2 linked regions of the Alligator mississippiensis genome follow. The protein of the gene in region 1 binds, or shares a complex with, the protein of each later gene. Links are inferred from orthologs where the notes say so. Each region holds a gene or a part of one and is shown on either strand. Other genes may lie near its edges.

The links. Proteins that work in one complex are often made in the same cells at the same time.
Region 2: CNOT2 (region 1) and CNOT8 share a complex: the UniProt entries of both Homo sapiens proteins name them as parts of the CCR4-NOT complex. The link is inferred for Alligator mississippiensis from reciprocal best matches to the Homo sapiens genes CNOT2 and CNOT8.

Annotation. Positions count from the first base shown.
Region 1 is NC_081827.1:70,446,922-70,454,232, reverse strand, and holds the start of CNOT2 (CCR4-NOT transcription complex subunit 2), read right to left. Parts: upstream 3,008-7,311; 5' UTR 2,971-3,007; intron 2,354-2,970; exon of another isoform or gene 2,254-2,353; intron 1,700-2,253; 5' UTR 1,623-1,699; coding exon 1,593-1,622; intron 1-1,592. UniProt on the Homo sapiens protein: Component of the CCR4-NOT complex which is one of the major cellular mRNA deadenylases and is linked to various cellular processes including bulk mRNA degradation, miRNA-mediated repression, translational repression during translational initiation and general transcription regulation.
Region 2 is NC_081832.1:77,043,781-77,050,942, reverse strand, and holds the start of CNOT8 (CCR4-NOT transcription complex subunit 8), read right to left. Parts: upstream 3,024-7,162; 5' UTR 2,886-3,023; intron 2,750-2,885; exon of another isoform or gene 1,042-2,749; intron 832-1,041; 5' UTR 740-831; coding exon 623-739; intron 1-622. UniProt on the Homo sapiens protein: Has 3'-5' poly(A) exoribonuclease activity for synthetic poly(A) RNA substrate. Its function seems to be partially redundant with that of CNOT7.

The DNA of each region.
Region 1 (7,311 bases):
AACACAAATGTAGGTCTAACTCCTGCAAATTCCTCAGCAAGTGCTCATCTGTCAGTAAGTTACTATTCAAATGAAGAATCCTACTTAAGTGTGTACATAAATAATTGTAGGATCAGAACCTTAACCAAAGCAACACTTTAGGTCACTTTTTAGGGGCATTTAAAAAAAAAAAAAGTACAACACCCCTCTAACACAGGAACCTGAAATAAAAACAAACCATTCTGAAGTACTACACATATTAAAAAAACAAGATGTTTTAATTGAAAACATATTCACCGAAACAGACAGAATATTTTATCAAAGTCAAAATGCCTAACAATTTTGTAAGCATTTTAAGATTATTTTTCTATTAGCTAGCAAGTCTAAGTTACCCTAACCTTGAATTGTTGGGTTTTGTCAGCAAATATTAGTGGCTGCATTTTTGCATAAATGATAGAAATATCAACCTGATCCTGCATAATTATGAACAAACACCTACTTCTTAAAAAAGAAAAAAAAAAGTTAATTGGTACAAAGTGTAACATGTTTAGACAGGCTTACACTGGAAAACTAAAAGTTCTTCCAGTCTGGAATAACATTTATAAATATGCACAAACACAACAGAAGTAAACCAACATGGGGGGAGGGGTGGAGAAGGTAGTAACCAACATATATTCTTCATTGAATTTTTTGGATTGTCACAAGGAAAATCCCTCTCCCCAAAATAATAACAGATCAGATCACAGCCATTTACATAGCACTATAAAAAAAATATGGATCCTACAAGCTTAATGCCAAATTCTATCCTTGAATGCTTGTGTAGAATTTGTGTACAAATCCCATTAACACTGCCGACTTGACCTGAAAAAATAAATAATTTGGGTTTAATCTTAATATTTTACATTGTGAGAAAACTATTGGAGAATGCTTTTTTAAAAGGTACACTTTCAGTATAAGGGACAATACCCACTTTTTTCAAACTTTAGTACTGAAAATAGACTTCCAAAGGAGATGAAAGTGTATTTTTACAACAAAATTAAACTGTAACAAATTAAGCCTGCAATCCTGTCTAGATAGACAACACACAGGCAAGACTGGAGGAAAAATAAACAATTTTGATGTCAGACCTATGGTCAGTTAACTCAGTGAAATGGCACTCTCAACTTTCACAAAGAGCTAGCGCTAAAGACCAACATTACCAAATGTGAGCAGGGTTCTAGGGCTACTCTAAGTTGCCCAACTGACAACACTTTTATGGGATCTGATGTTCAGGAAGTAACAAGTACTCGTTCTTTAGAAGTTGGGCCCTTCCAAATGACATCTTAATTTGGGCACTCCAGCTGTTAAAGTCCTTTCTTAAATTCTCAGATAACTTTAGACTAGCATTAACAGTTAAGGCACAAGGAGCAGATTCTCCTAACACAGAGTTTCATAAGTAAGTAGTTACAACTCTTTAGAGAAGGATGCACAAAACAAAACGTTCTTTCCACCACAACGTCATTAGCTTCAGTGCAACTTCCTGAAAATGAAACCAAAATACCACTTGCGAGACAATGACAAATTACTTTGTGATGTGAAGCATTCAAATTCCCTCGTAATAAAAGGACTGGTACCTTGAAGTCTGGAAGCTTACAACATACCATCAGGAATTCTCCGGGCGAGCAGTGATGCTGTTATACCAGTACTCGAGAAACAAGGACAAGATCTTGCAAACCTTGTTCTATTAACAACAGACAGTGATGAAATGTCCCGTTCTAAGAGGAGACTCAAAGAACACTGCTGCTTGCACAAAGTCCTTCCTAGGCCTAAATACAGGACTTTTGCCATAAAAATCGAAATAGCCGCATTTTGGTTACTATTCTAGATCTATACGCCATAACAGTTTAACCCTCCCTCCCAGCAGCATGATTCCTATTGGCCGGTATGACAGCAAGTCCAATCACCCTTAAATCACCTGGTTGAAGAATAAAGCCCAGCAGCCACCCACCACCACCACCACCAGACTTTAGCACCATCAAGACTATGAACAAATGTTGCCTTCAAGACACCATGCACACTCGGGCAGATGTGAAAATGTGACACCACTGCCAAGTGTCAGCTGGAGAGCAGCAGGGCAGAGATTAAGTTTCTCCAACAAAATAGATTTTTAATTTTTTTTTTTTAAAGTCAAAAGCTGCTATTGGCAATCACCTCCCTGAAGGTGCAGGGGGAGGAAGACACCACGGCTGTACTCAAGTTCTACCCCAGAGGGAAGAGAGCTCAGCCAAAAGTTACCTGTGGCTTCAGGCGGACTTCTCTTTCCCTCTCCCTAAGCGAGGCTGGTTTGGCGAGCAGGTCAGGGCATCCTCCAGCAGAAACCCCCACAAGCAGGGCCCGAGCACAAACCCCTGGCAGTCCCCGCTACCCCCGCCCGGCTGCCGGCACAGGGAGGCGAAGCCCCGTGTCCCCGGCCCGCTGCGGGGAAGGGAAGCGAAGGGCCCGCTCTCAAGTTTGTTCGCCCAACACCGGGACGGGCGGCTCAGCCCCCCGTCTCCAGCAGGAGAGCGCCGGAAAACACCCCCAGTCCCCCGGGCTCGGCCCCTCTCCTCAGCCCGGGCCGGGCTCAGCGGCGGTGGCGGCAGCGACAGCGGGCGCGCTGGGCCCGCTGAGGAGCGGCGGCCGCGGCCGGGCCCGGCGCTGAGCGCAGCGCGACGCGGCCTCCGGGCCCCGCGGCCGCGGCCTGGTCCTGCGCGCAGCGGGCCCGGGGGGCGCCGGCCTCGGGCGCCGCGCGCCTCCCCCCGCTTCCCTCTCGCTCCCTCGGAGACAAAAGCAAACGGCAGCCCGGCGGGCCGGGGCCGCGGCTGGGCCCGGGGCCGTGGCCGGGCGGGGGGCAGCGGCGCGGGCGGGCGAGGCCGGGGCGGCCGCGGGGCCCTCCGGAGGTGGCCGCGGGCCAGGGCAAGGCGGGGGAGGGCGCAGCGCGGAGCCCGCGGGGGCGCGGGGGGCCGGACTCACCGCATGAATTTTCTTGTCCCGCCGATCCAAGATGGCTGAGTCCCCAGCACGGAGGATGCTGGGGGAGCGACCTTTACCCTCTGACCCCGCCGCCGCCGTGACCCCGCCGCTGCCGCCGGGCAACCCGTGTGGGGGAGGGGCGGCGCTCCGCCCCCTGCGCAGCGCGGCGCTGCGGTGCGGTGCGCTCCTGCCGCCCCCGGCCCGACTCGGCTCGGGCCTGGCCCTGTTACAGGCACAGACACACGCACACACACACCGAGGGGGGAGTTGCTCCGTGACCCGGCCCCACGCACACGCAGCCCCGCCGGTGGAGCCGCCTGTCCCTGGTCAGGCAAAGGCAGGGGTGGGCCGCATGTTTCCTCTCATGGGGGCTCCGATCCCACCCGCTTTGGGGCCTCAGGGACCCAGGCCGGAGGCGGCAGGGACAGGCTGTTTGTTACTTTCAGGGGATCAAGGGTGACTATCAGCCGCCCTTAAGGAGGGAGGCCCCTGAGAAAGCGACGGCCAATTCCTTGGGACACAACAGCCAAGGAAACAGGGAAGGGAGCAAGGTCATGGGTTCAGAATCAGGGATTGGGAAAGTGGAGCTGAGCAGAGTGCACTGGACAGTGCCCGGCGGCCCTCCAGAGACTCCAAGGAGCCGGTGGATGCTGCTCAGTGATGGGACGAGGGACAGGAAAGCGGCCCTGCAGTCCCCGTTGGCTAAGTCAGAAACCAAATCTTTTCGTGCCCGGGCCACTGGTCCGATTGGCCACCTTGTCCCATCCGGCACCTGAGGCAGATGCTGTCAGAGCGGTTTCGGGGCACCATGTAGTTTCTCTTAACTGGGGCACCCAGGAGGTTTTTCACATCACAACCTTCAAGCTTGGCTTAAATAACAAGGGCCCAACCCTCCAGACCCAGACAGGTTAGACGGGTGATTCTCCAGCTGGATGCCACAGCACCCTGGGGTACCTTGAAATCCTTTCAAGGGTGCAACGGGGTGCCACACAGCATTAGCACTGTGAGGCGTGCAGATCCAAACTTGCACAGTAAACCCAGAGGTTTCAAATGGGAATTGGCAGTGTTACGACAAGACTGAACTGTTGCAGTCTTTGTGAGTTCTTCGCAAAGGAAGAATGGCTCTACTATTTTTCCGTCATTAAGAAACACTTGAAAACTAGGAGCCGATATTTTCTGAAGGTGCCTTGAGTTTATCAAAGGGTGTCTCCGGTCTAAAAAGGTTGCCCACCACTAGGTTAGACATAACTAGTGTGAATATTCATGCTAACTTCCGTGGGGCTACAATGGTGCTTAAGTCGGCACATAAGGCTTACCTGATAATAGCTGAACTTCCCCATCCTTTAAAACAAAAAGAATAAAACTCATAGACTATTGTTATTTTAATTGTCATAATTTTTTAATCTGAAGTAGCTGCATTAAGAAATAACACGAGGAAAAAAGGCACTAATGGCTGATTTTTTTAATGTTTTTTTTTTTCCAGTAATAAAAGAGGCTTCATACTTTGTCATTTACTCAGGCAGGTTTGATTCTTACAGTTTCAAAATTGTCTTACTGTTCCAGCTAACAGTATAGAAAGGTAGTTAGCCGTGCTAGTCTAAAGTCTGGCAGAAAGTGGGACAGGGTAGCAATTTGGAGACTTAACTGATTCAAAAACACATAAACTATTGTGTTTCCAATTAAGTAGACTAGGGGCTGGATGAGCAGTGCAAGGTCTGATTGCAGGCTGGATCCAGACAGCAAGCACAATCCAGAGCATGGAGCAGACGCAGCAAGGGCCCATCCGGCCCATGGACCACCCCAACAGCCCAGGTCCATTCTGGCTGGATCCAGCAACCTGGGTGGGGGGACCCATGTCCGTCTACATGGCAACAGACTGACCTGGCTGGGCCTGCATCCAGATATGTGGGGCTTGAAAATTTGGCAGCAGCGGAAAGGTGTAGCTATCCTTTCCTACCACCAAATTTCCCAATCCATGGGGAACTCTGTAAGCCAGATGCCATGGCTCCATGGCCTAGATTTGGCTTGCAGGCAGGAGGTTGACACCCCTAAAGTAGATTTCACCTGCAGAAGCTTTCCTTTCTGAATTAATTAATAATCTCTAAACTGCCACCCTACCCTGCTTCCTGCCTGTTCCAGCTAAGAAACCTTATTGAGGGCAGGTTACCCAAAACTCTACCTTATAAACAAACATTTTAATGTGTAAATAGAAATTTAATATTTGAGGGCAAAATAATACACAATGTTTCTTTAATGACACCTTTTTACTATAACTATACAACCTGGTTTAAGGCCTCCATTCAATTTGATCAGAACTGTTTTTTCTGATCTTACAAGCATAAGTCAGAACAAGCTATCATAGTTCTTTTTTCTGTTTAAAAAATTATGCAGTTCCTAAAAATAAATAAAATAGCAAAAATGTACCTTCAAGGCTTGGAGGTTTATTATTTGTTTGTTTAAAGAAAAAAATTAAAAAGGGAAAAAAATAAGAATCTTTTAGACACCTTTTATGAAAAAATGTGGACTTCTGTTTTTAGACTAAGAGCAATACATGAATCTTCTTAATCTACTCCAGAGGTTCCCGAACTTTTTCGTATTGTGTGCCCCCTTCCAGATTTACCAGCTACCCATGTACCCTTACCAGCATCTGTTTTATATTTTAAACCCTTAAATACCAATTATGATTATAATGAAAATTAAATCCACCAGTTCACAATTTCTCCCGCATACCCCCAGAGATGTCTTGCATACCTCCGGGGGTATATGTACCACAGTTTGGGAACCCCTGGTCTACACAGCTGCAAAATTATTAAAGAGAATTTTTGGCCTTTTACACCCTGAGATTTATTCTGTTAAATTTGAGTTTAGACTTCTCCCCATTCTGCTTACTTTTCACAAGCATTGTTTTAGTTAAATTTCCACAAAAAGAAAATTGATGTAAAGATATGATATCCACTAGTGTGACGCATGTAAACTAAGCATCCAATTTTATATTTACCTCTTTCTGGGCTGGTCCCTGCATCCATTACAAAATTTGGGTTCAAGTGTAAAATGGTATGTACTTGTACAACATTTAGGTTACATATTTCAACAACATTCAGGAAGGAAGCACAAACATTCAGTTTTATCACAGAAAATAATTTCTTTGTTCTACAGATACTACTTGTTAAGTAGCCTAATCAGTCCCAATGTGTGTAAATTAATGTTAATCTAAAAACCTTAACTGCTATGTTCCCTGACTTCCTATCTTTCATTGTAGACCATTACCATTACAATTAATATGTGTATTTGACTTCTTTTTTGGTTTGTTTTGTTTTAGAGAACAGGAAAGTTGTCAGCAATTTAAAAAGACTTTGAAGTTGATAAATAGATAACAACAGACTGTGATTAATGTAGTGAGTTCGCCTATTTGCAACTTCTGCTATTGGCTAAGTACATTTTTCTTCAAGGCTGAAGTCTGTTCTGTTACTAAGTAGCATTTTATTAACTAGGCATGCATTTTAAACCATGTTAGATGAGTGCAAACCCATGTGTAGACATTTCTAATTCAACTGAAGCCTGGTTTACCATTTAGCTTGCACGTGTAAGGCTTTGTCTCCAAGCAAAGGCATACTGATTTGGTTCAGTGTGTGTGTTTCTAACCTATTTAAGGTAGACTGATTCAAATTTGTATGTAGACACACTTTACTGTAGTTTGAAGAGTAGCCTATTTTACAAACTAAATAGACATGGCAAATTTTAAACACATTTTAGTAAACCAAATTTAGTTAAATTGCTGACACACCTAAGTATAAACAAGAAGAGCAGCATTAATAGAAAACTTCTCCTGCCCTTGGCTCTGTGAAGACGCAGATCCACGATTGTCAAATCAGGGCCTGAATGTCTATTTATGTATATGCTGCTCTCCCAAAGACAGGCTTAGGGTGACTTACAATAAAGACCCAGATAAATTATAAAGACAGATTAAAATATTAAACAAAAGTAATATGTATTAGAACAAACGCTCCATAAAATGATCCAAAACTCAACCCTGCCAGCAAAAGGCCTGCCCAAATCAAAAAGGGTTTACAATATTTTTGGAAGAAACATCCAGGCTCAGGCTGTGACAGGCCAGAACAGGAAGGAGTTCTATTTCTGGGAAGGAACTATCAAGAACAAGCCCCCAACATGGTTTGGAAAAATGTGGCACTCATTTGAGTTTTCATTGTACAACCATGGTTCAGCTAGGCCTATGCATCCCATTTACCATGCTGCTCAACCGTATCATTCTACGTGGAAAAATCTGTATGGCTATCCTTGGCCTCAGATATAGACAGTGACAGAAGGACATGCAAACAGGTT
Region 2 (7,162 bases), on another chromosome or scaffold:
TTTAAATGTTTTCCCCGCTCCCACCCGACCACACGAGGAATTCCACCTCAACAAGATTCTCAGAAATTTGAGATAAATGTGTCTATCTGAACAAGTCGACGTGATATTTGAGGCCAAATTATCCTCCACTCTGCGGCTGTAGTGACTGACCATTATGGAGCAGTCCTATTAGCTAACGAGTTGTGACTTGCATGCCTTTTGCCACATGCCAGCAAGAAATTTCTCTCAGCCAAATCGCCCGTGTCATTCAAGCTAGCTAAATCAAAATGTTTACGACCAAATGACCATCTTGTTATTTTAATTCTCTCTCATACAAACAAAGTAATACAATCCCTGTCAGTAAGTGTAATAGATCTCATCTGCTCAGGATTGCCTGCCCTGTGAAATTATGCAGGTATGTAATGAAGCATAAAGTTATCTGTATAAATCCTAAGAAAGTCTATATATTAAAAACGCAGTCAAGTGCCGAGTGCTAACTAGTTTCCCAGCTGTTTGCTCCACGTACTATTGGGCTCAAGCTGACCTGGGAAAACAAACACTTTTTTGTCTTGAGTGACCTACCCCGCTGAGATCCCTTTACTTTGACAGCTTAAATGGTCATTAAAAAGCACCATATTCTTACCATGGCGATGTATCTGTAACTGAGAACAATTTCTCGAATTTTCCTCATCTCTTCTTCCAGATTGTTTGCCCATACTTCACAGATAACCTGGCTGTTCTCTGCAAGTGCTGCTGGCATCTTGCAGGAATTGGAATAGAAGCACCCAATGGCGTGTCTGGGTGGTCAGTATGATGGTGTAGAGCTGCCAGCTCTGTGGCTCAGTCGGCACGCTGCAAGAAATGCAAACTCATATTTATATCCACACCGCTCCACAAGTCAGGACACGCCGGCAGGCACAACCAGTCAAGTTTCTGCCTTGTGGTGTCAGTTCAGCTGAAACATCTGAATTAACATGTTCTTTCTTGCTTCTAACACGTCCTTAAAACAGGCAGTCAAGGGACAAAGGAAAAGGAAACAATTCTTAGTTAGCAAAAAGGTACCTGGGACTACCAACTCCAGCTGAGACGAGCCAATGTTTCTCCTCCTTTTAGGACTGCATTTTAAGGGTAGGGCTTGTTTGCACACATCACTTGGCAACAATTTAATTGCTAAAGTTTTGCAACATTTCTGTTGGCTGCTTCAGGAAACTAAAAGTAGGAAGATGTGCGCTGTCATCTGCAACCCACCGCAGCATGGTCTCGCTGCTCTGGAGAAATCTTAATAGAGAGAAGTGGGGCCAGACAGGACCTCCCGAGGTCATCCTGTCTGACCCCCTGCCCCAGGGAGGGTCATCCTTCAGTCTGTGGAATAAGCTCCCTCCAGACGGGGTGCAATCAACTACTCTGGAAATCTTCCAGAGGAGACTGGACGGTCACCTCACCCTCAGTCCTCTCTCCTACTGGGTGCAAGGGGCTGGACCCGATGATCTTCCAAGGTCCCTTTCACCCCTAACATCTATGAATGCTTCTGTAAACCATGCCGATTAGCACAGCCCTCTCTGAACCATGCCGATTAGTGCAACCCTCTGCAAACCACGCCGCACCATGCCGATTACAGTGCATCCTTCTGAAGTCTGAGGCATGGTTTGGAGAGGGATGATCCTGCCACATCATGCCGATTAGTGCAACCCTCTCCAAACCATGCCGCACAATGCCGATTATAGTGCACTGCTTTGCAAACCATGCCGCACCATGCTGATTAGTGCATCCCTCTGCAAACCATGCCGATTATAGTGCATTGCTTTGCAAACCACACCGCACCATGCCGATTACAGTGCATCCTTCTGAAGTCTGAGGCATGGTTTGGAGAGGGATGATCCTGCCGCATCATGCCGATTAGTGCATCCCTCTCCAAACCATGACGCACAATGCCGATTAGCACATCCCTTTGCAAACCATGCCGCACCATGCCGATTAGTGCATCCCTCTGCAAACCATGCCGATTATAGTGCATTGCTTTGCAAACCATGCCGCACCATGCCGATTACAGTGCATCCTTCTGAAGTCTGAGGCATGGTTTGGAGAGGGATGATCCTGCCGCACCATGCCGATTAGTGCATCCCTCTCCAAACCATGCCACACAAGGTGGATTAGTGCATCCCTCTGCCCGAGGCCTGGTTTGGAGAGGGATGATCCTGCCGCACCACGCCGATTCGTGCATCCCTCTCCGAACCACGCCGATTCGTGCATCCGCCTGCCTGAGGCACGGTCTGGAGAGGGATGATGGTGCCGCACAACGCGGATCAGCGCATCCCTCTGCCTGAGGCAGGACACCCCTCTCCGAAGCGCGCCGCCATCCTACGACCGTAAGGAAACCAGCCCATCCTGGCGCGTGGGGCGAGCAAGCCCGGTCGAGCCCTTTCCGGCGCTCTGGCGACAGCGCGCCAGGTCTCGCAGCACGCACGCACGCACGCACGCGGCGGACCGGGCCCACCTGACCGCTCGCTGTGCCGTCTGCCGGCGCGGGACCGAGGGGGTCGCGAGGATTATTGCTTCACCGCGCGCGGGGGCGGGGGGAAGCCGCGGCTGGAGGACAAGGGCTCGGGGGCTTCCGAATTGAAACGTCCCAGCCCTTAAGGGACAGCTGTCGAGTCGCGTCGAGACTGGCAGACGCGACATTCATTGCACTGCCCTCCTCCTCCTTCTCTCGACAGGGCCCGTTAGGAACCGTGTTAACGAGGTGATACGGGGCTCCCCGGTCTTCAAACGGTCCCCCGGTGCCTCCTGCACCAAGCCTGGCCCACAACCCCCCTCCCGCTGCAAGTGGATCAAACTAATCCGGATTAAGAGCGTTCACACGAGCGGGCCATTCGGAGCGAGGCCTCTCCCCCTCCCCCGCTCAGCACCTGCTAGCTGCGTGCCAACCCGGCTCCTTCCCGCTCCCACCGGGCCCGGCGAAGCGAGAGTGGGACTGAGGGGTAGGCCTCGGGACTGCTCTTCCTGCGGCCGCTCTAGCCCCCCCCTCACGACTCGTCTGCTCCTTCCCCCACGACTCGTCTGCTCCTCCCCACCGGGAGGTGAGCGGTCTGGCGGACTTCCGGCGCGAAGTCCCGCCGCCAACGGAACTTCCGGTTTGCCTCCCGCTCTCTCGCGAGAGCCCAAGTTTGCGTGAATGCGTCAGGTCAGAGGGAAAGACGGGAGGAGGGATTTTGCCGTCACTGCGCATGCGTTGGAAAGCGAGCCTCGTGTCGCGACGCCCTGCCCACTTGGAGCATGCGCGTGGGGAAGAGGGCAATAATGCTGAAGGGCGCATGCGTGAAGTTGGCCGTTCCATTTTTATCCCCCCCCTTCCCTTTTCTAACTCTATTGGACTTTCCCAAGTCTCTCTCTCCAGGCGCTGTTGGGAGAGTCCATGACCCCCTTGGGGGGGGGGTGGAGAAGTGGGAGAATCCATTCACTTATATAGGGCTGTTGCATAAGAGGGAAATTAATTCAGATTAAGCACGTCCACACAGTCAATTCGGTGCTAATCCTGTGCGCTGACGTCAACTCGTTTCCCGGTGGTCTCCGTTTTGTGCAGCCCCCTGCTACGTTACATGTATTGCGCGGCTCCCTGCGCAATAAACACGGACCGGCCACAAGCGCCAGGCAACGATCACGCCCCGAACCCAATCACTGAAACCAGCCGCGCGTGTAAAGCGATTATCACGCCATCGAAACGACTCTCTGGCTCGAAAAATAGCCGGCCGGCACTAAAACACGTGCTCGAAAATTGAAAACGAAGGGGACGTAACGGCTTTTTCTGAGGGCTGATGTGGTCAGTGCCGAAAAAATGGTCCTCTTCATCCACGAACAGCTATTGCAGGAATCCAGGATCTTTTAATCCAGACAACTTTCCTGACTAATTCTTTTTTTAAGTGGGAAATGTCATTACAAGACCGTCGGTACTTTGCTTCAGTAGGGGACACCGCGGTGTTACTAATCGTTGTCCTTTTGTTTGATTAACGCCGGTACTTTGTGAATACAGGCAGTCCTCAGACTCACGACGCGATTGGTTCCTGAAAACGGCGTCATAAGTCGAAACGTAACTCAGAACCGTTTTTCCCCACAAGAAACAATGTTATAAATGGGGAGGTTGGTTCCTGAACCAAGGCCCTATACCCTGTTTTCACCAAAAATAACCTATAATTTTGCACTCGATCAAATATACATGAGTAATACAGCTACATTCATGTATTTATATTGTAAATAGCAATCCTGTTGATTTGGAAAGACTTCCTTGAGGTGACTTTGCTGGACTTTTTGAAGGGCTCTTGGCTGAAGTCTTGTCAGGAGTCCTGGATGCAGGTTTTCTGGAGTCCTGTCTGCTTTCTTAAAGAAAGCATCCAAGGAAGTTTGGACAGATGTTCCCCAGAGAGATGGGCGACGCAGCGAGCTTGTTGGCTGGCGTGGGGTCACATCTGGAACGGGCTGCCAAGAGAGGTGGTGCTATCACCTAACTTGGAGGTCTTCAAGAGGAGGCTAGATAGGCACCTGGCTGGGGTCGTCTGACCTTGGTCCTTTCCCTGCTTGGGGCAGGGGGTCGGACACGATGATCCATTGTGGTCCCTTCCGACTCTACAATCTATGAATCAGATCAAGCGTTATAAAGTCGAAACTGATGTCATAAAGTCGAAACGGTGTCAATTTAGAAACATTATAAGTGCAAAATGTAACTCGAACTGTAAGTCGAGGACTGTCTGTACTTCAAAAATGATTTTAAAAAGAAGACTTTTTTTAAGTGGCATCAGTTGAAGGACTGATGACGGCAGCCAACTAAGAGGTCTGATGTCTCTTTGAGTCCCATTTGGCTTGTATGCCAATGCGTATGGTAAATTCACTATGCTGGAGGTGTATGTTGTCTTTGTTCACTGGAACAGCTCCAGCTCCATGGTACGTATCTTTTGGTAGTCTAGTGGGTGCATCTTGAGTCATCTCAGCAAAAATACTGGAAGTCAAAAGGATGTAACCAAGTTGGCTGCACGCGCTTTGCTGTGAGAAGTTTAATGGGATAAGGATTCAAAGGTGGGGTAGGGAGTGAAGATGTAGACAGTGCACTGGAGTGGTTTCCATTGGCAAGATTTCTGCCACGACTTAGGGAGGTGGAGGGGACCTGGCACGAAAGAACTGTGATGTTTCTTTTCTTTTCTTTTTGTTTTTGAAATAATTCCCTAAAAGTACAAGATGGGAGTTGAACAATCGCTCTCCATCTTTCTAAGGACCCACAGTTGCAGTATGTTAAGTTTCAGTATATCCTCAGGCTTCTTTTATTGTTGAATACAGGGTTTCTATAAGCTTTGAACCATAGCATCAGTATGAAAAAGTCAGCAGGCAGATGTATGGCACATCATAGTAGTTGGAAACTCCTTTCTATACATGTCTAGGTGTATACAATTCCTGACCGCCAGTCTCTTCCATCAAAAAATCATTGGCCTCTTTTTTATAAAAAGTGCTCTCCTAATGGAATGATTTCAGACAGCCTGCTCTTTATAGAGTATCCATTTCAAAAGGACATACATTTTGAAAATTGTTATGTGTAAATAGCACTAGGATGAAGTAGTCTTGGAAAGAAACTGCTCAGTAAAGTGCAAGATTTATAATATACTAAGTTTTTCTAAAGAGAGTAGGTTGAACTGCACAGATAACTCTTCTAAGGTAACATGAGTTCATTCACATGGTACATAACAGTGCAATATGGACTGATAAATACTTTACAGTGGGCAAAGGGCTTTTGCAAAAGAAGATAAACTCATTTTATCCTGCTGCAAAGCCATTTACAGCTGCTATTCTCAGGGTAGCAGGCTGCTTGTGCGTGTTGCGCTCAGGTACAGTTTATCAAACACATAATAAAACTATCATTTGTGTTTCAGTCAGGTTCTATCCTAGCACATTTTTTACATATTGGAAATTGTGTTATAAATTGGATAGAATAAATTAACATCTTTGAGGATGGAGTGGGGGGTTAGCAGATGAAATGAAGATGCTTTTTTGAAGTGTCTAAACAGCAGCATTTTACAATTCTTCTCATAACTGACTTTTCTGGCGTGGGAGTCAAATCAAGTGGAATCAGAGCACATGGCAGAGGTGATATCTTTTATTAGCCCAACTAGATATTTGCAAACAAAATACTTTATTTGCAAGGTTTCGAGCACAATTACCCTTCCTCAGGCATAGGAGAGTGCAAAGATTGTAAAATTGCTCCTAGGTGGAAATGAAAACTCGTATTTCACAGGAGAGTGGTAGGTGTTGTAAGGTCTCCTGGTTGAAGTAGTTCGTTTCAGCTCTCTGTTCTACATTTTACCTTTTTTGAAATGGCTGCATGCTTTTGCACAGGTACTCCCTAAATACACTTTAAGTAGCACTTTGACACCTATTTATATGTAATACAAGCTGTGTATAATATTAGTCCAAAGACAAAAGGCTCATGATTTATCATATAGTTCATTAGGATGCCCTCTCCTCCCTCCAGCAGAGTTAACAGCATTTCAAGCCATGGTGACCCCACAGCTCAGCACTGCCCAGTTTGTGTGTGTACCCCAGATACCCCCACAAAGCATGCTAATTAGCCCTTCCTCATCACTGGAACCAGGTGTTCTTACCAGGAGTCCTGGGATCCTCCAAGATGTAGATGCAGATGAGACATAGGGCATCCTGGTCCAGCTTCACCTCGTGGAGGGACCACTAATCATATGAGAGAGGTATGTTTGGAGCCCTGTTTGGTGATGTTTGCCAGGCCATTAAGGCTGGTGAAGAAACAGGGCTCGTTGGAAATGGAGAAGATAGGCACAGCTCAGCTGTGGGAGTGAAGATAAAGTAAAAAATATATGCAATTTGGTGGCTCACCATGAGATTAAAAAAGAAGAGGTGCTGAAAGAGACTGCACTCAGTGGACACTAACATATATCTTATTCAGATGGGTTGCACCAACCTGTCTTGGTAGTAGGCTCCCATCAGCATGTTTGTCCAATGTCCATGTATTTTATTGGCATGATCAGCGCTGGCTGCATTTACTCAATGTCACAGCTGGTTTCCACTGCTGAGCATACACTGCTTTTAGCAGCAGTTCAAAGATGGACAGTGTGTTTAGTGAGATTTCCTTGCATGCAAATGTAAGACAAGGGGCTTTTTCCCCCGTGCTGACTGG